Linked DNA regions of Lepisosteus oculatus. The protein of the gene in region 3 interacts with the protein of the main gene of each other region in a pairwise test. Links are inferred from orthologs where the notes say so. Each region holds a gene or a part of one and is shown on either strand. Other genes may lie near its edges.

Evidence for each region. The genes of interacting proteins can lie anywhere in the genome.
Region 1: the proteins of appl1 (region 3) and fshr interact in a two-hybrid assay, tested with the Homo sapiens proteins (2 studies listed by BioGRID). The link is inferred for Lepisosteus oculatus from reciprocal best matches to the Homo sapiens genes APPL1 and FSHR.
Region 2: the proteins of appl1 (region 3) and fars2 interact in binary tests that used the Homo sapiens proteins (3 or more experiments, as listed by UniProt). The two-hybrid records come from large-scale screens. The link is inferred for Lepisosteus oculatus from reciprocal best matches to the Homo sapiens genes APPL1 and FARS2.
Region 4: the proteins of appl1 (region 3) and adipor1a interact in binary tests that used the Homo sapiens proteins (3 or more experiments, as listed by UniProt). The link is inferred for Lepisosteus oculatus from reciprocal best matches to the Homo sapiens genes APPL1 and ADIPOR1.

What each region holds. Positions count from the first base shown.
Region 1 is NC_090712.1:12,719,000-12,726,166, forward strand, and holds the start of fshr (follicle-stimulating hormone receptor), read left to right. Parts: upstream 1-4,155; 5' UTR 4,156-4,447; coding exon 4,448-4,599; intron 4,600-7,167. UniProt on the Homo sapiens protein: G protein-coupled receptor for follitropin, the follicle-stimulating hormone. Through cAMP production activates the downstream PI3K-AKT and ERK1/ERK2 signaling pathways.
Region 2 is NC_090701.1:18,441,113-18,449,058, forward strand, and holds the start of fars2 (phenylalanine--tRNA ligase, mitochondrial), read right to left. Parts: upstream 3,013-7,946; 5' UTR 2,929-3,012; intron 1-2,928. Other genes in the region: lyrm4 (LYR motif-containing protein 4), read left to right, coding at 3,194-3,279. UniProt on the Homo sapiens protein: Is responsible for the charging of tRNA(Phe) with phenylalanine in mitochondrial translation.
Region 3 is NC_090699.1:56,773,070-56,780,600, reverse strand, and holds the start of appl1 (DCC-interacting protein 13-alpha), read right to left. Parts: upstream 3,141-7,531; 5' UTR 3,014-3,140; coding exon 2,960-3,013; intron 1-2,959. Other genes in the region: asb14a (dynein axonemal heavy chain 12), read right to left, coding at 4,866-5,044, 6,176-6,329. UniProt on the Homo sapiens protein: Multifunctional adapter protein that binds to various membrane receptors, nuclear factors and signaling proteins to regulate many processes, such as cell proliferation, immune response, endosomal trafficking and cell metabolism.
Region 4 is NC_090700.1:30,415,442-30,423,280, forward strand, and holds the start of adipor1a (adiponectin receptor protein 1a), read right to left. Parts: upstream 3,013-7,839; 5' UTR 2,842-3,012; coding exon 2,769-2,841; intron 1,879-2,768; coding exon 1,670-1,878; intron 1-1,669. UniProt on the Homo sapiens protein: Receptor for ADIPOQ, an essential hormone secreted by adipocytes that regulates glucose and lipid metabolism. Required for normal glucose and fat homeostasis and for maintaining a normal body weight.

The sequences.
Region 1 (7,167 bases), on a different chromosome or scaffold from region 3:
TCAGCTAAGAGCAGACCAGAAAGGGTGATGATTACATTCCTTTTCAGCCCAAACAAATGGCTGACAATACAGTCAATTGTTGGGCACAGCATGAGGACTGGTCAAAGCTTCCATTAGAATTTGAGTGACAGCTATCTACACATAATAATGCTGCTCAGATCTCATCCAGGAATGCTCAGGCAAATATAGCCATGAAGTGACATGAGCCTTAGTGTAATCCAGCCTTTTGGATTCCAGTGGCAGAAGGTCGGTGGATTTTATGATAGTTGGATGTTGTCTATAATTAAATGGCACAATCTAGATTTGGCAGGAACAGAACCACAGATCCAAAAAATTAACAAAAACCACCCCACTAGCTGAGCATATGCCGTGGGGGTAAATATAATATATTATATTTTCACCAATTTTAATCAATATCTCTTAGGGGAGATAGACAACTGGCGACAGGTCACTCTGAAAATAATATTTCTATTTCAAAAGAGTCTAATAGCTCGGATGCAAGAGAAAATCCATTCTTCTCTTCAGAGAGACAGGGAGGGAGAGAGTGTGCCTTAGCCCGATTTCCATAGGCAAGGTTCTGGCTCGAACACTGGGACATCCACATGTGCAGTTTATATTCCTGCTCATTAAATAGACAATGATCCCAGCGTTGCATTCCCATGCGGCTGGCAGGAGAAAGAGGCTTGAGCCATATTCCTTCTCCCCTGAGGCCCTCCAGCACTGACCAGCAGAGTTTTGGCTCAGATAAAGACAGCGAGTCTCCATTGTGTCACAACGTGTCAAAGAAGCCATGGCTGCCATAATAACTTGGGAGTGTAATCCAGATTTCAGAGGGCAGTTTCGGTAATCAAACTGCAAGTAATTGAAGTAAAGGGCCTCAAAGTAAAAATCTCAGAATCACTGGCTACTCACAGGCAAGTGGGCTAAGGCTTCTTTCTTTCTGTGATGAGGTATTTTTTTCTACCTCTAAAGTTTTTTTTTTTCTGTATGAGAAAACTTCTCTTTCTGTTTGAGGTTTAGACTGCAATCCATCTGCTCACTGCAACATCTTATCCTATCTTTTCTGACACCACTTTAATGAAGCTAGTGATTTGGCTTGGATCCTAAGAAGTTTAGTGAAGAAAATAGCCTTTAACAGGTGCCTGGAGCACTAATTTAAAGTTGCACACTGAAAAGGAACAAAATCTCTCACTTAGAAAGAATGAAGAACAGGAACAGCAGTGACAAGATGTACGATAACAGTTATAATACTGGAACTGAACATGGTGCAAATGGCACCCTATATTTATAAAACACCCTAGGGGGTGACGAAGATGACGTGGGAAGGAGTTTTAGATTCATGAGACTGTCTTAACCAAGCCACTGCATCTGTGTGCTCCCCTCTTCTGTCATCTTATACAAAATATTAACAGGCTAACAGGTATAAGTCAAGATTCTCCAGTCCTGGTGTGCTTCAGCCACATATACACTTTCAAATTAAATAGTCAATGTGCCTTAAAGATTCAGTAGTATAGTAGTACCATCTATGCTCTAATGAGAGAAGTTAGTGGAAGTAAACAATCGTCTCTGTTGTGCTAAGTACATAATACAGCTTGTCAGAAATTCTTTTCTCATGCCGGTGCCTTGAACCAACATGTGGATTGAAAATGAGGAAAAAAGTGTCATTATTAGAACTAATTTAGTTTTCAAGAGTAAGACTTTGACAGGTAAAAATGTATTTAAAGCTGGGGGAATATTTAGAAATCTTTTTAAAGCCGATTATGTCTTTCTTTACGAGCAAGCTCCAGTGGACTATTTGCAAAACTATTTACCCATCTCCCAATGATGTCCCATCCATCCATTTTCTAACCGCTTCTTCTGCTCAGGGTCACAGGGGAACCAGTGCCTATTCCAGCAAGCAACAAGCACAAGGCAGCATAAACCTGGCCAGGAAACCATCACGGGGCAAATAAGCATGCACACTTACAGTATGCCTAGGGACTGTTCCCCCAGAAACCAATTAACCTACCAGTACAGTATGTTGCTGGACTGTGAAACCCATGTGAAACACAGGGAGAACATACAAAATCCACACAGATAGCACCCTGGGTCTAGAATTAATCCCAGTGTTGCAAGGCAGCAATGCTAACACTCCACCACTGTAATCCTTAATTACTTTTACGATTAAGGTAACTTCTATGCATTCTCAGAACTTTTAAGGGTGTAAAAAGTTAAATGACCACAAAATCTGTAAAAAAAAACTAAGACATTCATTGCAAAGTATTCACCCAGGTGAGTCAACACCTGCTGGAAGCACATTTGGCACCAATTACAGCTAGGAGTCTTTTTCGATACATCTACCAACTTTACACAGTGAGATAATACAAATTTCTGCCATTCCTCTTTGAAAACGTACTAAAGCTATGCCAAGTGGCTAATCAGTTTTCAAGTCTTGCAATAAATCTTCAAACTAGGACCTTGAGCCACCCTGATATTCACTTTCTCCTTAATCTACACTAAGAAAGATTTGGGATATTGCCCCGCTGGAAAGCAGACATCTCACACCTCAGGTTTTGAACTCTATACTTATTCATAGTCACCACTGGATTCATATTGGCATCTGTAACTGGTTTCCCCATGCCTGGCTGCTCAGTTTGGAGGCAGTGCCTAGGTACACCCACTTCTTAATTAACTTCACCATACTCAAGGGGCAATTTATACCCTTCTCTGTTTTGCTGTAACTTCAAAATATCTCCAAGTTGTTTTGAAAGCTCATTGGTCTTCATCGTTGAATTCTTGTTTGAAATTCAGTTTTCATCCCCCATAGTAAAAAGTATAGAGCCTCATTAAATGACCCAAGTCATTAATACCAATACGTAATTGACCACACTTGTTATAGACCTGAATTTCTATAACAAGTTTTTACAAATGCTTCAACAATTATAAAGATCTTCCTGCCTGATCTATTTTTGGATTTAGAATTAAACTCTTCTGAGCCCTCAACCTGATTATTTTCTGTTTTCTTTTAATCTGGTAACGTTCCCAGGTGACCCTAGGCTTCACCCTTATAAAGCAGCTGCCCACTTACTATTATAATGAGCCAGAAGTACCTGACTATAGCAAAGCCAATAACTAAAGAATGATCTACAGTATAATTAGTTAACTGGAACATATCAGGGGAAACTAATTAATCAGTTGAGCCAAGATACCAGCTAGAAAAATAACAACATCCAAAAATTGAATGCTTTGTGAATTTTTGGAATGCCTGGTAAGACAGGTTTTGTTTATCCCACTTGGTTATGGGCAGCCTCCTGGCCATAGAATGAGGGTGTTTGAACCCCATTCGGAGAGGGGTAAACCAAGGAGAGGGTAGAGAGGAGGTGGAGGAGGGATGCTTGAGACTAATGCAAAGGAAATGTTTGTTCAATATATACTGTATAGAGCTAATTTCAGTAATGATAGTGATTATGTAATGAGATTTACTTATCTTTGTTATCCCTCCCAAATTTCAGTTAAGAACTTCCATATCTAAGTGATTCATTAGGTTGTATCTGTTTATTTAGATTGTTATGAACATTTGTTTTAAAAAAATCTGTTACACCATGAGATCAAACCTGAGAACTTTATGTGAAAAATACAATATAAAATACAATTTTATATTTTATTGTCAGGTTTTAATAAAATATTTGTCTTAAGACTTGTTCAGACAGCTGTAAGTTCATTGACTGTCTTGCAATGAGGTTTCCCATTTATTTTTGTCTGTGAGTTTCATAATAAGAATAGTGTGTGCTGAACAAAGTTCATTTTGCTCTTAACATGCACTGCTCCTTATTAAAGAACTAAGTGAAAGCCAAAAATTGACAAATATTTGCATATGCCAAAAAACGTTTTGTAATCACAGACAAAACTAGACAGCAAAATGGACTTTAAAGTGAAAGAAGTATGAGCCTGGTTATAACACTGTGTTCTTTTATATTTTAATGAACTATAATCAGAGATGGAACAGATCAGATACACAGAGTGTGTTGCCAAACATTTATAGGTAACATGAAGTCAGAAATTAGTGTCTTATCATTTTTGGAATTCCTCTGGTTTTTGAGGAGGTAATCTATCTCCACCATTTAGTGATGAATTCAGAATGAGGAAGAGAGGAGAAAAGCAAGAAAGGCACTTGCTCCTTATCAGAGTCCTTTCTCCCAAGGTCTCTGATGGGCTTGCTATATAACAAAGCTGGCTGCGTGCTCAGGATCTATTTATTCACTTGAACAATGTGTTGTTGTCTTTTTCGGTACCATTAGATGAAGATCTAGAAGAGCAAAACCAATCTGCAAAATTCTGGAATCTAATGATATATAACTGCAATATCAAAGTAGTGTTAATGCTTGTCAGCTGAAAAAAAGACGATCCACACATCACCGCTTTATACACAAAAACACAAAGAGACCAGATTTCTGTGGACGGAGACAGAATGATCCTGTTGTGGGTTTACTTTCTTTTGATAGGAATGCAATGCATTGAATGCCACGTCTGTGCAAGCAATGGGACAACCAGATCTTTCTCATGTGTGGGAATCAAAGTTCTACAGATGCCTACTGACATTCCACAGAACACGACCTATGTGTGAGTAAAATGCCTGTAACTAAAGACATAGAATCTCAATTGTGTTAAAATCAGTAAATAGCAACTGTTTGAATTTCTTGTTCTAATTGATGTAATTATCTTACATTTATTTATAGTAATATAAACATTAATATTTTAGCTTTTACAAACTATATCATATGATGACTGCTGGAATGAGTGAGTTTGAGTGAGTGATCTTTTCCAATTGTCTTATTTTTTCAAATTCAGTTGTTACTCCTGCAAATATATTTTAGCCAATATGGCTGACTGTAACTACTATTTTGTAAATGAATGGGTGGATGTTTATGGCTCTTTTAATTAAGGGAAAAAGCCTTGAACATCATGTGAAGAACAACATGATCATATTTTGATGACTTCATTTATAATGCTGCATAGCGTGTGAGTAGATAGTAAATAATCCAGCAGAAAACATCTTAAATTTTCCAGCCAGAAACTTTGCAAATATCACAGTATTCTTTTTTCAATTATACATTTCTGCTCAGTCTTTACCAAAAATAATGTTTAATTAGAAATATCACAGTGCTTAATGCTTTACCAAACCAGAACAGTACAGCAAAACTTCATAAACACTAATAACAGATCAAGTAAATGTGTTTTTCATTTTTATTTATGAGCACTTCTCAAGAAACTCATTTTTATCACCTCATGATAGGAAAGATTTATCTTGAGATGTATAGGATCCCACTCCAGACTTGACACAGGTTAATAATGGTTGTCACAGGGACTGTACATCTCCAAGTCCCCAGTTACTCAAAACCCCTAAAACTGGTCCAGGACATGGTGGGGAGAGTTTCTTGATTACTCTAGAGAGATCTGAGGAGTAAGTTTATATTATTAAACCAGTAATACCCCATTCCAATAAACCTCTAAGAGTTAATCATGTAAATTTAATAGCAACGGTGATTATACAATATATGGGAAGCCACTATGTATAATCTGGGTTCCTTGTGAAACAAATGTGGTCTAAAAACTATCATAAGTATCTCAATTTATTGTTCCCCAAGATTGAAAGATAATGGAAAGAAACTATCTTTCTGATGTATGAAGAACCTTTAAGATTTTTCCCACTTACTTTTGTTACTTACATTTCTTGAAACATTTCCACTCTCCTATCCAGTTTTTAATATTTCGTTTCATCTATATGCTTATATACTGTAGATGTTTTTTAGAGGAACCTTTTAGTTACAAAGCATTATAAAAAAGCATTATGAAAAAAGTTACAAAGCAGCAAGATTTATGTCACGTTTGACCAATGCAAGCTGGAGACTTTGTCAGTCTTTTGGCACTGTGAAAGCAATAATGATTTTTTCTTTGGTGTGTAACTCAGATTAATTCATAAGAGTTATTTATAAAATGTAGGTGTGGGGAAATTTTAGGAAGTCAACTACAATGATGATCTAAGGAGTACAAAAGACCTTCTAAGGAAATTAGAAAAAATAATAATAAAAAACACCTGGACGTTAAACAGAATAATTACATAAACATTATTTCTTCATTTAAATGAGTGGTACATTTTTAGCTGAGAGCAGTTTTCATTCTGAATATGCTGTGCTTTAAATCAAGCAAAGTCTTCCCAGCCCTGTTAAATCCCTATGTGTTAGAAATTAAATTCAAATGCCCCTAAGCTATATCTGACCCCCTTGAAAAAAAGATACAGAAACCTACCTAGTTCCATACGCAAAAGGCCCTTTTTTTTCTCAAGGCTCTGGGTTTTGGTCCTAAAGGACAAATGTATCAGGTGAAACACAGGATTAGAGTGCCTTTGGCTACTATATCAATAGTTTATATTACAATATTAAAAAAACATAGTAAAAAATACAGATGATGTCAAAGTTGTGGCAAAAACTGGACATAGCAAAATAAACATTCTTGATGAGAGATGGAGAGGATTTATATCAGGCCATTATTGAAGCTGCAAAAGAAACATCTATTTTTGATTATTTAAATACAAGAAAGTCTAAATTGTTATGCTCTGGTATTATTCAAAGCTAAGATAACTAACTGTTGTGGAATCAGAAGTATTTCGTTGGCATAGTACAGAAAATCAGTGCATTTATCTTTCATTGTGTGCAGTGACCATAAAGATATTAGAAATTCCAAGGAAATGTATTTAAAACTAATTTTGCCTGGTGTTTTTATGGTTTCATGATCAGAAAAAGGCAAAAAAATGAAAATATTTGTAAAAGGGAAAAACATGGGATAATCTGAACCTGAAGAGATTACTTCTTTCCAGATAGTAAACTGCTAGGTAACTGAAGGTCTTGCAGTGGTGACAGAAATTAATTAGCTGGGACTGCTGTGTATATAACAGGGAGCTGTAGATGCTGACTATGTAGAAAGATCACAGAGGTACATTAACTTCTCTGGTACACAGACTGCACAGAACAGAGAATCTATTTTCTTGTTTACAGCTAGTTTACAAAATTATCTGTCTAAACACCCAGTTCTCCAGTAATGTAATCTTACTCTAACAACAAATGTGAAGGATTGTTGTATGTGGTTTTCCAACTCCCATGTGTAAACACAGTGAGAAATTATTTGTTTTTC
Region 2 (7,946 bases), on a different chromosome or scaffold from region 3:
TACCATCAAGTGTGTTCCAGTTCTACTACTATATACACTACTATTTAATCCCAGGCAGTCAGTGCCAGATCTCTGTAGGCACAGTGCCTAGGGCCTACAGAATTTTTAGGGCCTACGTAGGAGGGAAACACTAGTGACTAATGAAAAATGTGCTGAAACAACAAGCTTGTGATCGACTCTAGGTGCTCCAAATAATGATCATACGCTATCTAGCGGCTGTTCTAGAAACTAGAAGTATCGAAGTGATGATCACTCGGCTCACTCCATCAATCACGTGGTTGAGCATTAGAATAGTTGAAAGTGCGTTGTGTCAATAGACATAATTCAAGTGGCATTAGTCACGTTTTTGCACACTTCGGAGAGAAAGTGCCTAGGGCCTACGAACACCAAAATCCGTCCCTGCAGTCAGTGGGGCAAAAAAGGGTGGCGCAACATTGCTTCTAGGTGCTATCTGCATATAATTTGTATCTACTCAATGTGCTCTGTTTTCCTCCCACAGTCCAAAGACAAGATGGTAGATTAAATGACTTCTTGTAAATTTGGCCCTTTTATGAGCGTGTGCATGTGTATGTAGTGTAAAAAGCTCTGCAGCCCTGGAATGGATAAGCGGAATAGAAAATGGATCAATGGATAAACAAACTGTGGTAAGATGGCGGGAGCAGTTTGGGAATTGAGGCAGGAAACGCTATTGCCTGCAAGCTGGTAAATGAAGTAGGGGAAGGCATTTCTTGTAGCCGATGTGAAAGTTCAACTCTCGTCAGACCATCAGAATGAACTCAATACAGAACCTCTCTGCAGACCCGGGGAGTCAGCATTCTAAAATGAAGGTCCATGTGAAACTGGCTTTGTCTGTGTTAAATTAGGAGCACATCCTCTGGGCTTTGGCACCAGTTTGCAGGGATGCTCTTCTCACAGGTCAGATAGAAGAGTAGTACTGCAGCAGGCAGCTCGCCCAGCCCAAAGCTTGATTTGGGAATACAAGTACCTCCTTTTAGTTATTGAAATCTGTGATCAGGTGCGCTCTTTTTGAATTTTTTGTGATTAAGCATTTGTCCTCTGCAATAAGTATTTTAAAACAGTTAGTTTTAAAATGTAAGTATAATAATAAACTTTAGTTTATATAGCACCTTTAGAAGTATCTTCTCTAGACGAGTTAAGGGAAAAGCAAATAAATAAACAGTTTCAACAAATGAATAGTAACTAAGTTAGAAGTTACAATTAGCACAAAGAAACACAAGGGATTAGAAATGTAATAGAAGATGCAAGGAATGACATCCTTTTACGTAAAAGCCTAATTATGCAAAGGTGGTATAGATTTGTCGGAGTTTGGGTCTAACATAAATTAATTTGCACATCAGGCAGAGGGACAAGCAATTCATACAATACGTGGAAAGGACTGACGGCAACATAAACACCACTGCTTTATGATGTTTCAGCGTTTATTGGATAAATACTGATGGCATTTAAATAAAGGTATCCGTTAAAAACGGAAACCTGAAGCTCTGCAAATAATACAGCATCTACCTGCATCTGTTCACAAATCAGAATTCTGCAATTCAAAACCAGTTCCAGAGATACTAATATTTTATTTACACAAATAGTCTTTACAGCTATTAAATAATTCTCTATTTCTCATTATATATTTTGAAAAATATTAACTTTGGTGGTTTTTGATCTCGGAGTCTGAGCGCAGTTGCATCAACCCACAGCCACGTAAGTAACAGCTAATAATAATATAAAAATTGCTTACACTTATATAGCGCTTTTCTGGACACTCCACTCAAAGCGCTTTACAGGTAATGGGGACTCCCCTCCACCACCACCAATGTGCAGCATTCGCCTGTTAAGTATTTCAACCACTCCGATCATTTTAATAGTTCCTGTCCTGGCCGAAAAGACCGATGCGGGATACTCAACTGTGAGATTGCGGAGGGGTGGCTCTGTGGCTAAGGATCTGCTCCTTTGGCTGGAAAATTGCCAGTTCGCATTCTGTGGCCGGCAGAGGAATCCTACCCTGTTGGGCCCCTGAGCAAGGCCCTTAACCCCAACTGCTCCAGGGGTGCTGTACAATGGCTGACCCTGCCCTGCACTCTGACCCCAAGGTTCTCTCCCTGTCTGTGTCTCATGGAGAGCAAGCTGGGGTATGCGAAAAGACGAATTCCTAATGCCAGGAATTGTACTGGGCTAATAAAGCAACATTATTATTATTATTATTAATTTTAACATAAAACTGAGGAACATTATCCCCGGCTAAAGGAATGGCATTATTCTAAACTAGAAGACAGCGGCCACCTTACCCTCCTAGGGACTTTCTGATCCAAAAATATCCCTCGTGTAATTTCTTTTTTCAACAGGCTTCGCATTTTCAAGGCAAGCAACATAAAATGAGTGTAGTAGAAAATATTACGTCACTTTCTTCTCCAGTAGCCGTTACGGTATTATCAAGCGCATTGCTACGTTACAACACCTGCAGTCTCAATTTCAAAACCCACTTTATCACGAAAACTGTATTTCCTTTACACCAAGATCTTTATTCATAATTGACCTTGCATTTCTACACCGCATGTTCATTTTTCCCATTTCTATTAAATACATAAAAAGCTTTATTTTACTGTAAGTTATATGTATCACTACTCTGTAATTTATTTTAGTTTATGGATGTCCATATGCATATTAAATAATATGCACTACTGTATATGTACTTTTAATATTTGTATTTTTTAGCACGTACATCACGTTTCAAGATACATTGTGTAACAGGATGGGAAAAAAATCTCATCCGCCTGAAAATACATAAAGTTTGACTAGCCTCACAAATCGTAAACTAATTGTTTTAAAAATGTTTTAAAAGCCGGCAGAGCTTTAAGAAACGATGATTATATGAAACACAACAAACGTCTCTCTCAACACAAACTCACTCACACTCACCTTCTCCGCTCTCCAGTCCTGACACTTTATTATTGAGCAGTTCCTGATTTGCCTGTTTAATTTGAACTTTTTTATCAAACTAAAACAATGGAATTAAATATTAGATTAATATTATAACATAAATATTACACTAATTAAATATGTATTATTACATAAAGCAATTTGTGGGAAATCAGTCCACAATTATTAAGATTTCTATCGAGGCTCCTCGATAGTAAACTATCCTACGGGCCTTGCAGGAGTAGGTCGCAGTTTTTTTCCCAAGATGGCAGCCTCCAGCAGAAGTCAGGTGCTTTCTCTGTACAGGCTGTTGATGAAGGAGAGCAGTAAATTTCCTTCATACAACTACAGGTATTTGATCACTGCTTATTGCTAATTACTCGTGATCGCATGAATCACATAGCGGGCACTTCATTTAACGCTGTGCCATGTTATACAAGTGTTGTCATTGCAGTGTAACAGAGCTTTCAGGTTATAGATAGGATCTGAAAGTACGGTTGCATTTTTATAGCACATAGAAGTAATGATATTATTTAGCAGCAACATCTGTGTCCTCTTCTGGTCCCAGCGGAGAATAACCCGCACTTGTACCTTACTTGCGATGTTGATATGAAAACCTGCTTTATTAACTATGACCTTTTGGTTATGTGTTTTAGTTTTCGAAAACAATAACCCGATCCACAATTAGAGGGATAAATGTATCTTTTCTTTCCTGCAGTGATCTGATTTATAAAGTATTTATTCCTATAGAATTACGGAGCACAATGTGATCATTTGTATTTTCTTAATTACAATATTATCCCGAAATACTTGAATCGAAAAAAGTTAATTCCTTGTCCATTGTTGTGCACCTGTGATAGCATAAAGTAAAACCTATTACACTATTATAATTACAAAACCTATTTTAATTAATTGCAGTCTGTTGTCGCATTAAATGTTATCCAAAACTACACACAAAATGATCTGTTTTCAGCATTTGATAGTTTTTTGCTTAAGCCAAAGCCCTCTCTTCTCTGAGTTGTTACACAAGCTGTGAGATAAAGGTAAAAGGTTTTGATACATTGGCATAACAGTTTATATTAATAACACATAATTCGACACCTTTAATTATCTATGTAACGATTTTTTACTATGACAGGCCTTGGAGAGCGCAGGTATACAGTATAAAGTATAAAGGATTTTAAAGTACATGAAGAGTAAAAAAGTTTTTCTCCAGCTTCTCCAACCGCTAGATAGAAACCCTGTGACACGAACAGCACAGCGCAGTATATCGCGTCAGTACACACAATACAATGCGAAGACAAATTTCACTTGGCTCTACAGAAACTGCTATTACTAGTACTAAATTTCAGTAGTATATCTTACAGCACCGAACACTTAATTTATAACAAGTCTTACACAAACCCTGAACGTGATGTACAATCATGTTTTGCACAACCATAAATTATGTAGCAGAAATCATACGCTTTAAAGATCCTGCTGTTAAAAAGCCTTTGAAACACAATAATGGTGGTTCTTGGCTTAGACAGTAATTTTGTCTAAATTGCAAACATGTAGATTTTCCCTGTTCGTTTTCTTACTTGAATTCCATGGGCAATTGATCATTTACAGACTGTTGAAACTATAGTAATGAAATTAAACTTGCAGCCTATTTTTGTGTAAAAATGTTACTGGATTGAATGGACTAAAAAACAAAGATTAATAACAGCTAGCTCCCCATCCATGGTGTTGAGGTTAACAAGAAAGGGCTGGATGAGATACTTGGATCAATTAACTAACAGTTAACTTCCACAAAATGGCTGGGTACCTTGTTGCATAGTCCCACATCCCCACGTGTCTCATGCTCACAATTTTAAATGGGCTTCTACATAATTTCCATTTGTATCCTCTGGTTTTTATCTTGCTTTTCATTCTGAAGCAATCCGCTGGATTGATGCTGTGTCACTGCGTTTTAGGACTGTGAATACTGTATATCAGATCTCCTTGTAGGATTCTCTGTTCAAGACTAAAGGGCTTGAGTTCCTTCAGCCTGTCAGTATAGGACATGTACCCAATTTACTCATTGTGCTTTCCAGATTGAATTTTGGTAGTTTAATGTTATTGAAACAAAAGTAAAAGTACTGGAGATAGATGTAGTCAGCTACACAATTTATAATTTACAGTATCTTGTTTTGAAAAACACCATAATAATCCCAACATTAATAATGTATTTTGCGGACTGGACGGACATGGACCTATTAAGAAAAATTGAAAACCTCCCCGACTCTCTTTCTACTTGTTTTTATCCGAAAAATTTTAACTCCCTTCTCACTTTTTCTAACTCATAACTTAATCACATCAATTTATCACTTTTTGCATCCATTTATATATATATTTTTAGAAAGACTAGGAAATATTGTTTCACAATTATCACATAAGTTAATTTTTAATATCCTATCTGCGTTAGTTTTGTACAGCATTATTAATATACAGTAGGAATGCATATAATGCTTAATATGCAGTATATATAACATTCTGACATTTCTGTTAACTTTCAAAACGTATTCTTTATGCGATTGTTGTTGTAATTTGTAAAGTAGTTCATGTTCCTGTGGATAAGAAATAGATTTTTTTGTATCTGGGGATTACCAGTTCAGGTCCTGACTGCCCTTTTAGTAAAATCAGGTCCTGATTTTTTTAGGCCCTCTAAGTTTTGTTTATATTCAATGCATCTGCTGAATGTTGTTATTATAATGTAAAAACAAAGTTTTGTAAAGTATGTGTGGTAAAAACACAATCCTTTACTGGGAACACTAGGCTCACAGTCTAGTTCCTCTGCTTGGCATTTCCTGATAGTTAAGATATTGAATGTGCAGTAAGGCATCCTTGGACTGTATCCCAGGGGTAGGAATTGTCCTGAGGTGGAAGCTCGGAGCTTGATGTATGGCACAACTGTGAAAAGCAGCATGGCTCCATTTTTGCCCGATCCTATTAGCACAGTTTTGCAAGTGAACAGATCCTAATTAAAAGTGCTCACCATCTGCCAGAGCCCAGCACCGAGGTGGCCCACAGCATTTACCTTCCCTCATTGATTACAATGTATTATTTATCACGTTTTTTGCTGTTTCATAAGATGCAGGATAGCAAATGCCACTAGCAAAACGGGAGGTCTTTACTCCTCACCACCTACAGCTAGTGTGATGTGCCCCCTTCCCACGAGATGTGTGTGCATTAGGAACTCTCTGCTCCACAGTTGTATAATCAGTATTATACCTTCTGCTTAAAATAGAAGCTGTAGTTCTGCTCTCATTTGTACCTTACTCACATTGAAGAACACTTTGCTTTTGACAGCCAGTGCTATATATATCTATCCTTTTGTTTGAAAAATTTTGAGAATTATTTCTTATGTGAATGAATTCTAATTGAATTGCCTTATTTTGATGATTATGGACCTTTTAGTTGGAAGTTCTGCGCCAAGGTACATTGGGTGGCTATTGCATTGAAACACTGTGAATTGGAGGGCTGCAATATCTGGTGTGGTCAGTACCTGGATGGGAGACCTCCTGGGAAAAACTAAGGTTGCTGCTGGAAGAGGTGTTAGTGGTGCCGGCAGGGGGCGCTCACTCTGCGGTCTGTCTGGGTCCTAATGCCCCAGTATAGTGACAGGGACACTATACTGTAAGAAGGTGCCGTCCTTCGGGTGAGATGTAAAACTGAGGTTCTGCAGTCAGCTTCTAATACTTCATACTGTTAATAATCCCCATCTATGAACTGGCTTCCTCACTCTGTTCACTCTGTTCTCCTCCCCACTGATAGCTAACGTTTAGTGAGCGTACTGTGCACACTATGGCTGCCGTCGCATCATCCAGGTTGGGGGTAGTTCTATAAAACAGCTTACATAGCCTTCATATGTAGTATTTGTATGTTGTATTCTGTAGCCCATACAACTATTATTATTTCATTATTATTACATTATACTGTAAATATGATCAATTCCAGGTCTAACATTGTTGGATCTTGGTGGACAATGTGTTTACAATAGTTCAGTAGTCATATGAAGTAATCAGTGATTCATCACGATCATAGTAAAATAACTATTGCTGTTGTTCTTTTGCACAATAACTGTCTTAATCAGGGAAACAAAATGCAGTAGAGCACATTGCACTAAATGAAATAAAACTGAAATAAGCGAAAACAGTTGAAAAATGGTTTTTCACATGCAAAATCGTATAACTGAAGTAATTTTCATTTTTCACCATTTAATGTCAAAATATTTGTCACCTGTCACAACTGAGAACCCCTTTAGTGTTTCATAAAATTAAATAAAATCCTTTGATCTACACAGAAATAAATATAAAACAGTCCAGCTGCATGAGCAGCATGTTCATTCTAGAAAATGAAGCAGCTCTAGTAAGCCAGCATAATAACATGTAATGAGAGAACTTAATGTTTTTTTTAACATTAATCCTGACTAATAATATTTGGTGCAAATATGTGTGCATTCCCCAGTTCCAGATGCATATTTTCCCTAAATGCAAACCCTAAAAGTTAGTATTTTTCTCATTTGGCTTGGTCTGTCTTGTTTTACCCCTATGAAAGAGAAAGAGATCATTCGGCCAGGTTTGCTTGTGTGATTGCCGCAAGCTGACTTAAATACCTTAAATACCCCAGGATACCTTGTTTTCGGAGAGTCACACTCACTAGTTTGCTGGGTGCTTCATCCTAGACATCCTAGACAATTCTTTATGAAACAAGGGGAGGCTTTTCAGTTCATCTTGTTTGTAAAGGCGTACTACTTGTTTTCAGTACTAAAAGCACCTGTAATCAATATGCACATGCATCTTCATTCAAATATTCATTCAACGTCTCTGTGTTAGATATTCATTGAATTATTTTGCTTCTCAGCAGTGGAGTAATGGTTAAGGTTCTGGATTTGTAAATGGAACGTTGTTACTTCAAATACCAGCTAGACCAGCTAGCACGATACCTCATTCAGATCTCTTCAATGATATGCCCTTCAGTATCAAAGACTACCAATG
Region 3 (7,531 bases):
GGTTATGACTACCGTGATAATCTGTGTACTGTAATAGAAAATAGAGCATCCCCAGTGACCCCAAAGTTCAATCATGAACCAAGAGTTACAGTATTTTAACTGAGGCCCACAAAAGTAAATAAATAACACCTTAACCTGTTGTGGTATATTTAAGGCTTTATGGGCAGCTGAAGGAGACGACTAAAAATTAAACACAGATTCCAGGCTAGATATTCTCTGTGGCATGCTAAAATATCGTTGAATTTGGAAATGACCTTGAAGTTGTGCTTGTACAGTATTTTGCAGCAAAACGTAATTATTCACACACAACGCCTGACATTGAAAAGGATAAGTGAAGGCCTGTGTCAAGAAAAAAGCAGAAGCTTCACAACTATTCAGAGAAACACAAAAATAAACTAGAATTCCTGAACATCTTCCAAGTGTTCCACTGAATCAATATTATTAATATACAGTATGTATATAGCAGAGAGGCAAAAGGCAACACAAGGAAAGGGGTTATGTTATCCGAGTGTGAATTCAGATGAAAATCACGGTAAAATTCTTAAATCTTCGTCTCATCTCTTTCGTGAGCTCGTCGTAGCTGCTTCTGAAACCCGCGTGTAGAGATTTTGCGCAGCTGCGGCTGCGTCACGTCACGCAGCGCGTGGCCGTGGACTTGTACAGACGGAACTGTGCGGAATCTGTCCTACAAGAGCGTGACGTCACTTTCAAAAACTGTCACCCTGACACCTTGATATGGTCAGACAATAAACTCTCTTAATTCTGCCTTTTCGTGTTAAATACTAAAATAGTGCGGTACTGAACTCACTGAAGCAGAATAAAAAAAAATCAAACAGCGTTACAAAATTAAAATGAAAAAGCAAGCTAATTGGTTATTTCGAATACTCCGTTTTATTAGATAATGCTCTATATTTTTTAAAAAGTTTAAACTTTAAGGATTACACTTTCACTTAAGATCCTTTTTTCCCTAAAGACACTTCAATGTTGGGTTTTTTTTTCAGGGATTTTCATTGTCCCTGGCCTATAAAACAGCATACAACAGGTTGGACTGGATCTGTCAGTACACAGTAACCTGCTATACAACTCTATAGCTGTATACAATGTTACAGTACAAATGTTTACAATAGCTTTCAATGGTTTTTTACAGGACATTTAATTTTTTTCTATGACCTTTTCAGGCCTGCAAACAGAACCAGCAATATTCCAGCTTGCCAGAGCACTCATGAAACCAGCAGAGGGGAAAAGCGATAGCTCATGATTCATGCCATGCAAGCAAATAAGACTGGCACTGTAGAGCAGTTTGGCTCGTCCTCAGTTTTACAGACTCCTGCAGAAACTGTAACGAAACACCTGCCTCAGAGTTTGGCTTATATAAGAGACTGCAGGTTATGAAATTCCGTATGGGTTTAACTGCTGTGAAATGGTAGTTCGTGGAACAAGAAGAAAGATATCTTGCTTAGGAAAAGGAACATACAGTATACTTCAGTAAATTTGTGGTGTTCCGTGAGCTGCTTTGAGGCTCCAGTTTTGATTGTGACAAAGGCCACACTCTTCCTCAGGGACAGGTGAATAATATCCAGTCAGCTTCAACCAACCACTAGTAACAGCTAGATGGGAAATAAAGTACAGCCATTTCTTAAGAGTAAGACTGCTGCTTCATGCTCATCTCCTGTATTAGACTGAATGTGGCGAATTCACACAGAGCTTTAAAACCGTCATAACAATATTATTTAAGGTGTGGCAGTTGAGGAAGAACCTTTGGTTGCAAACCTAATACACTCAAGCCAACCAAGTCTGTACTTAACTGTATAAAATGCATGATCAATAACTGCTTTCATATTATATTTGCTGTTTTAAAAGAAAAAAGGGTGGTTGTAGAGCTCTGGCAGTATAAACAGCCGGGGATATAGGTCTCTCAAGAGGACTAAGGTTCAAAGAATGATTTAATCGAGGAGGCTATATCGCTTCCTGTCATTCAAAGTCGCACGGTTTTCCAAATGAAGTCGCTTCAGTTCTTGACACGTTGCTGTGGCACGATAGTTGGGGGGTAAATCTGTGATTTAAAGCTCCGGTTTGTGAAGAACACGCCCCACAAATACCAGCCACCGGAGTGGAACGAAAATAACGCTTCAGGAAACGAACACGATACAATTGTCTTTCACTGTCACCAGTTTTTTTTTTAAAGAAAGATAACATAATATTTTCAACGTCACATCATAACTTGGAAACAACTTATCCCCATGACATCTGGCATTCTGCTAGAATACTACCTCAATAGGCTGATTTAAAAAAAAATCCTGTCAGTTAACACGTATTATTCTGGATTGTTGCATTTCTGTTCTGTCAGGGAATCTTGAAATAAGGATGGATGACTCACTCAATGACTCAATGAAGCTTTTTCGTCCCTTCGTGTTTATGCACATACTTTTAAATCACAAACCATTACCTTTTAATGGCTAATCAAACGTTATCTAGTAAGAGAAAGAACACAGTCGAGAAATGACGCTTTTCACTCTTCATAAAAAAAGTGATTTAGTAGGGTAAACGAGCCAAGAGAATAATTTGCGATCACATTCTTGTCATTAGCAGTAAACGGCGCTGCAAGAGACCATTTCTGAAAATCCGAATTTTAATACGTATTTATACAAAGAGGCAGCTGTGTCAAACGTACACATACTGTATACATGCGCATATAAACACAAATAGCTAGCGTGCTATTATTGTATTATTTCTACAGTATATAAAAATGCGGTGCTAATCTCAATTATGGTGCTTGTCAAACTCTAGTTTGACTGTACTGGAAAAGCAATTTTGTAGTAACAGCTGTAGCAAGCCAAGATTCTTAATATATGTGATCAGATTTTTTCAGATATTGGAAGGTAAAACTGTATTTTGCAATCTTTTACCGTACTAACAGTCTTTCTTTGTATACATATAAAATAACTTGAATTCCCATTACCTGCGGACTATCTTCCAATGTCTCCTCTATCGGTAGTTTATCAATCCCAGGCATATTTCTAATTTATATTAAACTGAATGCAAAAAACGAAAAAAAAGTGACAATAAACAATCACTCCCACAGAATACCAGAGACCAACAATATCCACAACACCCAACCCAGCTTTCTCCCGAAGCGGAAATTCCGCCTTCGTTTTTTTCTGATTGGGGAACATACTCTCCCGGAGATTTATATCATTTCCTTGTTCAGTTTCACTTTACGTCACAGTGTAATGACAGTGGACAGTGGTGGCGAAATTGAAGCCATTTTGGCTCTAAGAAATAGTTAGTATACCTTTCTATACGTTTTATATGGAGCCAAGATGGCGATCACCTACGTTCAGTGACTTCACTATTCCCGATTTAGCGCTTTACCTCAATGATTTTGCCTCCGTGGAAGTAAAAAGGAAAACGACGATAATTGTATTGACCGCATACACCTAATGAGACTTGCAACTGTCCACTGTGAATAACACGCCAATAACGAGAAATGATCCATCCTTTTCACGGGGGCTGTTGTACAGCAAAAAAGGCTCAAAGGAAGCTTAATGATAATATAAGCAATCTAAATAATCCACCAACACAGATAGTCTTTATTACCATTCCTTTCAGGCATTGAAATTCTCAGTGCCCACTGTATAAAATTCAGTGTTCAGTCACTATCAGTCTGGAAATACTATCACACAAGATATAAAATCACCCAATTATTATCATCTTGGCATGGTGTAAAAAGTCAAGAAGACTCAGGATTTATGTATTTTATTTCTGAAAGGCATTAGCTAAAATACAGGGAATACAGAGTAAAGTAATAGGTATTAGAGTAACAGTGCATCTGAGATGGTTCTCAGATCTTGGTCTGTGCTGCAGAACAGCTGAAGTATTTCCATTGCCTTTAGCACAATATGAAACTGGTAGATTGTGAAAATCTTTAGACCCGTCAGAAATCTTAAAGTAAAATCTGGCTAAACAGTGTCTGCATTGAAGAACATGATCTTTTAAATTTAAAGAGTGCACTCTACCTGAGATTGTGTTAGTAGATACATGCCCTGATGTTTTAACAAAAATGTAAGATCATCGACAGAAGGTTCTACTACTGTATTCAGACTTGATACTAGTCACCTGATTGTAGTGGAGTGTGACTCTACTTTCCAGTGTTTTTCAAATTGAACACCATCATTCATGAGTCTTATTCTCTACAAATACACCAAGCCGTATCAACTGCCAGACTCTTAATAGTTTTCCTTAACCAATATTTTGTTACCCATGTTAATTTTAAAAAAGAACACAGCGATGCAATAAATGTGTGAATTTGATATAACCTCCTATATATAATTATGCAGCTCATTTAGTACATAAGCATACCATGAAGCCAACATGGGGAAACAAAATAAGAAACAAAAAGAAACGACAATAATAGAGGCATAAAGAATAACGCTTACAAGGTATCTGATTACAAAAGAGTTCTGCTCCTTTCAACCAGACTTTCCCCTTGGGCAAGAATGTTTCCAAGCTTTTCCAACCACCAGATATTCGAGAAATGCGATACGCTGACTTGCAGGCTAAAGGCGGGGCAAGATCCCCTTTTCAAACTGTGTCTAGCGAAATGATGACATTTGCCAGCACAAATCTAGTTTCTTTGGGCTGATGTGATGTGACCGTGCCTAAGGGGAATCAGTCATATGTCATTATTCCACCCTCCTGTGCCCCTTGCTCTGAAATGATGACCCCCTTCCATTTCTCCGGGAAGCTCATCGTGTGGCTTGGGGTGACCGTCCCTCAGGAGGCCTGGCGCAGGACAGCAACGGGAATCCGCTGCTCCCTGGACTGAGGAGAACCGAGGCCCGGAGGTGCGTGTGGTCGCTGGGGTGTCACCGCGAGCCCAGGAGGGTGCCCTGGCCGTAGAGGTCGTACTCTCGGTAGAGGACGTAGTCCTTGAGGCGGCTGGGCAGGGGCAGGAAGCTCATGAAGACGGGAGCTCGGAGCCGCAGGCGACCCAGGCATTGGCGGATCTGCAGGCGGCACAGGTGCTTCAGGCAGCGGGGGTTTTCTGTGGGCGGCGGGACCCTCGTCAGAGCCACTCCCTCCTCCGTGGTCAGCAAGAACCCCCCCCATCCGCACACTCGTAGTAGAGCCTCACTCCCTTGCGTCACGAAGCCAAGCAAACAAAAGCAGGCAGCAGACCTGGTGTGTGACTCTGGCTCCGACTAGATTACCTGACAAGATGGATCTGTGATTTCCCATGACAGCTGGACAGTAGAATATGCCTTCTGGGATTGGTTCCTAGAATATTCCTATACCATGTGTGCTCAGTTACAGGGGTTAAATTAATTTTCTCTTTGTCTTGACATTTATGGTGACTCAGGAGGAAGGCCCTCAAGAATCACTGAATTCAGAGCATGGTTTTTCGCAGTACTCTCCAGACCATTTGTCGAAATAAACTGATTTAGATGTCAAACAATGGGTCGAATTTCAAAATACCGCATCATTCATCTTGAATGGCGAAGCTTCTATATGCTTTGGTGTATTAACTGACAACTTGCTCCTTTTAGTAAGCTACACAGCCCTTTCTATATTAGAGAAGTGTGGCCAGTGAATTTTGAGCACTTTTCAACACAGAAGACCGAAATCGGAAAAATCCTGCTTCGTTATGACAACAAAATTCGACGTCCGCATTTAGAGGCTGGAGATAACAAAATCTATCGTATTTATTAGCAAAAACAAAAACAATACAAGCAGCAACCCATCCCATCCCTAAGTCACTAGAAGATACATTCCAGTGTTACCTTATATGTTTTTCCTCACAGGAGGAAAATACAGTCAGAGTGAAATATTTGGTTCATTATATCTGTAGCATTGGTGCATGATTGCTCATGTCTGGTACATTCTGCGGTCAAATCATATCTGCACTTTGTACACTACTGAGTGGACGTTCTGAGTAATCTGTAGGTTTTGGGTACTTACTGGTGGAGGATACCCATCTCATCTAGTAGAAGTGTTTCACCTACAAGGTCATAATACCTCAAGAGCTTGACATCTAAATTGGTCTGAAAGGGAGAGCAGTGCTGATTAGTGCATTATTAACAACCTGTACCTTTCAGCTTGCTGCTAAGCATAAGAGCACACTTAACAGCCATACGCTAGAACAGTCACATGCAAGACTTCCAGGCCTCTCACTTACCTTGAATCTGACATATCTCTTGCCACTGTTTCTGTTCCATGAGAGCAGATTTAAGCTTGGAACAAAATTTCACATGATCAACATAATCTAGCATGATCCTCACCACTTGTCCAGAGATATACCTCAGCCAGTACACTGTGATCACCTCACAGAACTGCAGGAGAGAGAGAGAGAGAGAGAGAGAGAGAGAGAGAGAGAGAGAGAGAACAGCCAGAGAGCCTTGTAGTGTTCATCTATCAGATCTCATGCCTCATGTGCCAAAAACAAAGGGTAAGGGATCATGGATTCATTCTGATTATCAAGTCTAAAGCTTGAAGAAAGCTTCAACACAAAGGTTTCCATACAGCAAGCTGTGCCAACAATTTTTTATCCCTCTACTCTCTATCATCATTTGAGTATTCATCTCCACATTCTGTCTCTGAATTCCAAGCCAGGTTAAATGTATGTTTTGCACATGTATGGCTGCACATGTGTGTGAATTTGACTGTGTAAATGAGACTGTGGTTTTTTGCTGTGTAGGCTGAAGACGCAAGCTCAATCAGGATGTAAATCTTCAGATGAGAGACGTACAATTCTATAAATGTTCATCAGTTCTTAATGATATTCAGCCATTAAGTTCCCCTGTAAAGTGATATAATAGGATATTTAACTCACATTATTGTTATGAATTGTTATAAATCCCTCCCCATACTGACCATCACACCTCAGTCTGAGTACGGAAGATGCTTAATCAAGCGATACATGTTTTTAGACACTCACATAGGTAACGAATAAGAAAATTACTCATCACAAGAATAGTGAGAACAGGTTACAACTAATAAAATAAGAACTCAAAAGTAGATCTCAAGAAGTTTTACCTCATGTCATTATCTGACCGTGATCAAGGGTAGGGTGGAATAAGTCTATCGATGGCCTTTTTAAAATGTACTCATATCTAAACCCACATCTGGATTTGCTAATGTTTAAGATGCAGAAAACAAGCCAAAAAAGGCAATGTTCGTTATAAGCCTACTTTAAACATTATATTCTCTTTGCAGGAAATGGCCTTAAAAATTAACAGAAGTTAGAAGAAATCAATTTAAAACATCTCAAAGACAGGAGAAAACTTAAAGAACAGTCAAATACAAAGTAAAACATCCTTTTTTTCTGCAATGGGATTCTGTCCATTCCATAAAATTAGATGAGAAGCATTGATTATCCACAACAGAAAATTAACACTAATAAAAATAGTTCATTTACAAATTCCTCACTGTTGCTATCCACATGAAACTGATTAGGCAAAAAAAAAACTCATTGTGATGTCATAATCCAACTGAGTGATGTCATAAAGAGATACAGGCTATAAAAACCATTACA
Region 4 (7,839 bases), on a different chromosome or scaffold from region 3:
TAGCTGGCCTCCTGTCATCTGTAACAGTCCTCAAGCTTCTATCAAGGAGATACTGGGTACAGTTTGTTGTTCATCCTGTTCTGGATGCCGACTACGCCCCTTCCTCTTTCATGTTGCATCGTCGTGTGTGGTCTCACCAATTTTCTGCTCCTGATTTCAGTTGCATTACTATTTGCCAGATGTCCTCACTAAAGGCATGCCCATGTCTATGTTGTATTGTGTTTTCCCACAATCCCCTTTGCATTACAATTCTATCCATCTGGCACTGAAGGAGGAGAAACCTGTTTAGACATGTCATATGCAAGCAGAGAGCTGTGTGCTGCTTAGCTGTTGTGTCAGGGACCTTTCAACACCAGTCACTGGTAAAGTGATGGTCTGAATCTGCTCAGCTACTTCTGGGCGGAGTACATCTTTGCTAAAGGCCTTTTGTGTTTTTTACGTTCCCCTCAATCAGAGAGGCGTGGATCAGAAAAAAGATCAGAATTGAACCTCCCCCTATGATAAAACTCTGATTCTTATCAGTCTATACTAAAAACACAAATAAAATACAAGCAAAACACCAGACCCGTATGGAAGCTTATTAGAGCCACGGAGAAAAATATATTTTTTGTGTTCATATAAGATTGTGCTGCTTTTAAACTTGAAACCTTTTGCATTTGTAAGAGACAGTATTGCATTTAAACGAGCTAACATACAGCTCAAATGTGATTAATATGTGAACAATACTGTTATTGTTGGTTAATTGTTGACTCTTTAAGCATAAAGCCCTCAAAGGTTTTTGGACTACACTATGCTCATATCAAATCCATTTGAATTTGTAATAAAAAAGCAAAATGCAGGAAACATGTCATTTAAAGGAAGAAGAAACAGTATTTCTGTGTCCATTGGCAAATGTAAATGCAAATGGAATGTAAAAATGATAGGGGAATGCCAAAACAAAAACAGGACGGCACACAACCCATGATACAGTTGTTAGTACATCGTTGGCTTGGTCTACCAATGATTACCAACAATAATACCAGTTACAGTAAGCCAGCAATAGGTAGACGTCTTACTGTCAAGTCATCATAAATGTATTCCGTTCAATGTTTACAGAGAAGGCAAAAACCTATGTACAGTTCCTTTTTTTCTGCAGTTTTACATGTAGAATAACATGTTTGGAAAGCCACGTGATTTCTACTTTTCACAGAAACGGCAAAACCGAGACTCTTTTAACCCAGGAATGCTCACTAGCAAGGAGTTCTACTTCATGTATACAAAAAGAACTCCACGCGCTCCTGTCGCTTAATTCTTTTGTGCAAAAAGGAGTGTCACCATATTCTTCTGTTCTTAAAGTCCATGCTAGTGTGTATGGGACAATACTATTGTATATATATATATTGCGACATTATAGCAGGCGATATTGTTCGCAAATTAATTATCCCGTTTTAAGGCAATGTTTACTTGTATAAACTCAGAAAAGTTTTTAGTTTAAATGCAAGACTGTGTTAAACTTTTTTTTTCCTCTGTGGCGCAAAAAAGCTTCCGTAGACCTGAGGAGCTGTATATAAAACGCACTGGGAAGTTGTGTTCAGTCACACAGTTAGCTTCGCTAGCTTTCTCTGACTGGAGCTCCAGTGTCTGAGACCCTCTGCATCTCCCTCCCCCCCCCCAGGTCCAGAGGACTCACCCCAGCTGTGGCCCCCTGTGCCTTGCCTGGCCCCCCGGACTCCTCCAGCAGGGGGCCCAGCTCTGTCAGCTCCACATCCTCGGGGGCGCGGCACACCTCGGTGATACGGCACTCTTCATCGCTTGCCGAGCCGTTCCTGGCCGACATGGGGAGATCGCCCTCTTGCCTGGCCTGACCGCTGTGCCCCACGTACAGGGCACCCTTTCTTGCTGCGGACAGACACAGACACACAGCAAGATCACAACCCCTGCCGCCACGCCACTGACACATCAGCCCTGGTCGGCCACAACAGGGACCCCAGATGGCCAATGAGATGCACTGCTTCCACATCCACACTTAATTGATCAACCGGAGCTAACATGGTATTTTATTCCCACGTTTCTGGGAGTATCCATTTACTGTACTAGTGATGGGGCAGAAAATTGCCCAGAATGGTCTCAAACGGCTTTGTGACCAGTGTCTTCTCTTCTCTGTGCTTTGAATGTTGGGATCTCGGAGGCCGAGAACAAGAGTAAGCATTTTTTCGAATAAAGGTTTCGTTTCCTGAAGTGGTGTCTGACTCCTCCAGTCCAGTTCCAGACTCTTGTAGAATCTATGCCAAGGGGCACTGAAGCTGCACTGGTGGGACATGGTGGCCTAACACCCTGTTAATACACTTTATATTGGCGTTTTCTCTATTTTGACTTACTGTGCTATATATCAGCACATATTCAAGGTTCTAGTCTTTGTATTAAATATGTAAGGAATATTTAAACAGATACTTAAACCATACAGCTCTGTATCGGTGACCAAACTCCCTCAAGGTCTGTTAAAGTAAAATAAGAACTGACTTTGTAAAAGAAACGGTAATTGGTCATCTCCTAACAGAACAGAACATAAACCCCTTGAGCGTGAAAAAACCCAACTCACAACTCCAATACTTTGAATTGCAGTTAATGGTGATAAAAACATGTACTGCACCCAGAGCACAATGAATACAAAGAGCTATATACAGATGTAGCTAAGACTCTCTTTTAAAGAGAGGTATGATGCTGTCAAATAAACGCTGCCAAAGAGCTACCAAGCACAAAACGGAGCAGACACAAACATGCCAACGTACCTGGTGGAGCTGAACACGGAAAACCAGACAATTCCACGGCGCTCATTCTAAAGTGGCGGGGCTGTGTGGGCATCTAATGCATTTATAGTCCCAAAGTGGCAAGTGAGCAGTCAGAGAACAAACGTCACACATTAACGTCATTCTACAAAGCAAAGCTTAAAGCTTCTTTTGACCCACAAACCATCAAGGTCATCGCTGCCAACAACGTACAGGCCGATAAGATGACAGCTGAAACGGGCAAGTCTCCGCATCAGAAATAAGAAGCACGGACGTAGCTGGGGGCTTTGTTTATGCTGGAATTGCACATGTTGTACTTTGCTCCCATTCTTCTTTTCAAACACATAAACATTCACCCACAACTGCCAAACTGTCCTGTCTGAGGCTGCATACGCTGTCTGGACTGAAGCTGCACTCCAGCATTGGGCTTTTAAGGGACAAAGCCAGATTTGGAAAATGTATCACCTTGGGGGTGGGGGATTCAACCTCAGTAAATCCCCCAAGAGTGTGCTGCGACTATAGAAGTCCTCTAAGGTCGACGCTTTGTTTTTATTAAAGTGTCTAATTAATCTTTACTCTCACCTCCTGAGTGTATACAGACAGCACTGAGTAAAAGAAAACTCAGCTTATTACTGTACAGTCATATTATAAGTTTATTACATATTACACTGTACAGTGTACATATGGTGTAAAAATAACAATAAATCCATCTATTTCCTAACTGCTTTGTCCAATACAGGGTCACTGTGGAGCTGTAGTCTCTCCCAGCAAGCAATGGGCTCAAGGCAGGATACACCCTGAACAGGACACCAGTCCATCGCAGGGCAGGCAGACAGACATACACTCACACCAGGGCCACTTTCCCCTGAAGCCAATTAACCCTACCAGTAGGTCTTTGGACTGAAAGAAGATACCAGAGCACCTGGAGGAAACCCACACAACCAAAGGGAGAATATACACACAGATTATCCCCCTGGTCCAGAATTGAACCCAGGTCCCCAGAGCTGAGTCAGCAACACTAACCACTGCGCCACTGTGCAGCTCAGGAACAAGACAAAGAAGCAAACATCTTGGAGAGCATTTGCAGATTGATCCAAAAATCAGGAAACCAGACAATATTTCCAGCACAGAATTAACATCCACACAGCACAGAAATAGGCTTCTGTTTTAATAACAATGCTTATTCTGATTTCCACCGTCGATCACAGTCACGACCTTAAGAGCTATCATCTAAATAATACAGAAATAAATGACCAATCTGACTTGAGCGAGTAGGACCAGTAAAGACTTCAAAGGGAATAACTGGGTTCGGTCTGGGGGTACAGTATTCGTCACATGCCGGACAGTCAGAGCTAGGATCAGTCACATCTAAAACATATCACTGCTCAATAGGTATGCTTCAATCGACGGCATGGATTAGTGAACAACGCTCTGTCTGTAGAGGGCACCAATGCAGTATTAAGCCGGCGACTGCCTACTATATGTTATTATACTTGTGTCACGCAGCTGCACAAACTGCAGATGCCTGACACTCCGAGGGCAACTTCGCTCAGCAGATGCGACGGCGATTTTCCTTCTCAGATCCACGGATATTCCCACCCGAAAGGCCGGATGGTGGCTTTTGTGTTGGCTCGGCGAGATCCGGCCGCCTGCCCCGCACCGATCCAGGGAGACCAGCTCGGTTGGGAGCCGGAGAGCCTCGGCACCCGAACGGAACCTCCTGACACCGGAACCGAGCTTAGCGCGCGCCCGGTGCCTGGAAACCCGTCACTTTCCGAACATGCCCCGGCGGCCAACCTCAACTCCAAACTGCCAAGATCTGAACCCGAACCCACGAAAGCCGCTTGTGTAACTCAGGAACAACAGACCGACGTGTGCGCGCTTGAATGCCCGGGGCTGAAACCAACATCGGACGGCGAACCCGCCGGTTTCCTCCGCTTCTCAGCAGAGTTCGGAAAACCCTGTCCCGTCTTACCTGATTCTACCCGACCGGACGCCGATTCCGACCCAAACTACAGGTCGCTTCTTCCGGCTTCCTGGGAAAACAACAAGCCCGGCGAGGAAACGAAGAGGCTTCTCTCTGCGCAGGCTCCGAAACGCCGAAGGCCCAGTAGCGCCACCTGCTGCCCGACGCGGAGGGCGACGCTTCAAACGTCCCGTACGGTTGTTTTCAAGACCTGCTACGTGCCTTGTGGCCACGCAGATTCACCAAGCTAACTTCAGCGGATGGGAGCTCAACGGAAACGAAAGAAAAAAAAAACACACAGATTATAATCAGCAGGTTAATATTAACATCCAGTGAATCCTCACATCATAAATTTGGTTTTGAAAATTACTTTTTTTGAATAATGTTAAAACTCTAAATAAAAACCCGTTTAGGGGTTTAGTAGCTAATTTTTTCGAGGATCTCATCCAGGCGTTTCTTGCAGAAGCTAATATATCGGCTTCAACAAAAGGGCTGAGCTGCTTGTTCCAGACCCCCACTACCCTTTGTGTAAATGTGTGCCTTCTTTTCTTTGTTTAAAGGCACTTTAGCTTAGTTTTCTTTTGTCTTATGCTTTTGTCAAAGCCCCTGGTGATTTTGAACACTTGAATCATGTACCCCTCGTCGTTTTCTCTGTTAACAACTTAAACTATTTTAGCACAAATAATTTTGCCTGTCCCAGTAGAACTGACAATGGGAGCGTATCCGGTTGTTCTTCTTCGGTCTGAAAGACTTCTAAAGTAGCAATATCTCCTGAAACCCCTTATCTGTACTGGCCTCTTTCCATTAACCAGTCCAAAGACATCGTTTACTTTGCTTACCTTCTCCCTAAAACTTAAGAATTCATATTTTATGTAGAATTTTATTAAAATATTTCTGAAAATATAAATATATTTACAGCTCTATTTGTAATCATACAGTTGTAGCTTGTTCAAAAGAACTATAACAGGTTAAACTAGATTCGATTCAATTCAATTCAATTTTATTTGTCATTATACTTACACAGGGATAAAAGTATAAAGTGTTTCTCATTATTCTCTCAGGTGCAGTTTATATAGAACAGACAAGACAATAGACAGGAAATACAATTACAATAACAATAACAATGTAAACAACGAGATGGTACAGTGTAATAGTACCCATATACTAGATCTGCCTTTTCCACGTCGACATTATCTAATAAAATCTGTTTCCTCACACTCTGCTCTCGTTCCAATTCAAACAGGAACGTGACTGAATTGTTTCTGGCTGTTTTAAGGGACACACAGTAACGGGTATTACCGGTTTGACAACCGGTTCTGCAATTGAATTGTTTTTACTAATAATGTACAATGGTATTTTATAGATTTTCAATGTGAAAAACGTGACATGTTTAGCATTTATCTACAATTTAATTGTACATTTAATGTTATTATATCGGGTCGTATGTATATAGTATATAGTATGTGAAATTACAGTGAATTAACTGGCGATCCCAATTGTACAATGTGTGACTGTTACCTTTATTGCTAGGTATTATGCCATAATTGTCTTATTTTCTTTCGGATTTAAATATATGTTAAGCTTTTTATTACGCAAGGTGAGGATTCCGGACGGAATCGTCACGAAGAACAGTTCTTTAAGCGTTACCGTAATAGGCTGTAACTAAGTTTTTCCGATATCAGTGCATATGCCCGAATGATCTGATTGCTTGTCTTATTAATTACTGAGTGAATACACATGCATTTTAATTACTGTCGTGGAGCTTTCACTTGTATTTGAGCTGAAGACTTACGTTGAAGTACAGAGAGTGAGACTACACACTTGCAATTTTGTAATCTGGAACCCGTATTTACTGTTCTCATAATTACATCTGTTTATGGACGTGGTTTTCTGGAGGGGCATCGTGTTGTTTCTGAGCGTTATAGTTTTGGAATCTAGTTTGAGAAGCTGCGCTTCCCGTCTGTTTTCACTGCGCTACGGCGGACCTTGCAGCTATAGGGTCTGGTATAGGCTTAAATTTAAGGTTTAATAGTGCGTAACTACTATAGGGAAATAAACTAGTGAGGGAGTTCTGCTGGAGCATTGCATGGCAGGAGATTTCGAAAAATGGGTATCCCATCGAAATTATTTGTCTTACACTCACTAAACGAAGAAGCAAAACGAACAGTCCAGTCACCCTAATAGCGTTATGAGTCTTTTTTTATATAAATTGCCCAGAGTAACTCTCGCCTATCGAAAGTGTTCTGTATTGATAATCAGCTCTTCTCGTTAATTAGAAAAAAAAAAAACAACTTTAGCTCTTGTCCTGCAGGCGACGGGCCACACGCAGAACATCTGTGTACCGCCGCAAGATGAAACCCTCAGCACCGTTTTCAAGGATTTCTCTTTGGCTGCCCCGTACGCCTGTCAGAGGCAGAAGGTTTAATTTACTCAGCTTTGTCTGCCCGGAGCAGAAATTACGCGTGGGCACCCGGGGGATAAAATAAATCTTCCCGATGCACTTCATCCGCTACTGCAAAGAGACCGGCGCGCGCGAGTTCACCTTCACCCGCAACCTGACCCGCAAAGTAGCGTGACGCTAGCTACATTAAGCGACTCTAGCTTGTCAGCACCTTTCAAAATAAAAGCCACCTAAACAGATATTTAAAAACTCAGTTTGAATCCGGGTCGGATCGCATTCAGAGCCGACAGACTTGGCTTCTTCGAGCGCGCCCTGCTGGAGTTCCTCAGGATCACCGAGACCTGCATCACGACCGGGGAAATGACAGAACGGTTCCTCTCTGCACCCAAAGAGAGCGAGACCCAAACCCGTGTGTGTTCATTTCAAGTGAAGAAAATACAGTGTTAACATAATGCTGCCTCCACCGTGCTTGTCCGAAGGGATGGTGTTGAGTTTGCACCAAAGACAACGCTTTGCATTTATACCTTAGGCCAGCAGCCATATCAGCCTGCAACTCTCAACTGGCAGTCCCCTGAAGCTCAGCAGGCGTGAGCCTGGTCATTACCTGTATTGTAGACCTCCTGGGAAAAACTAAGGTTGCTGCTGGAAGAGGTATTAGTGGGGCTAGTAGTAATGCTTGCCCTGCAGTCTGTGTGGGTCCTAATGCC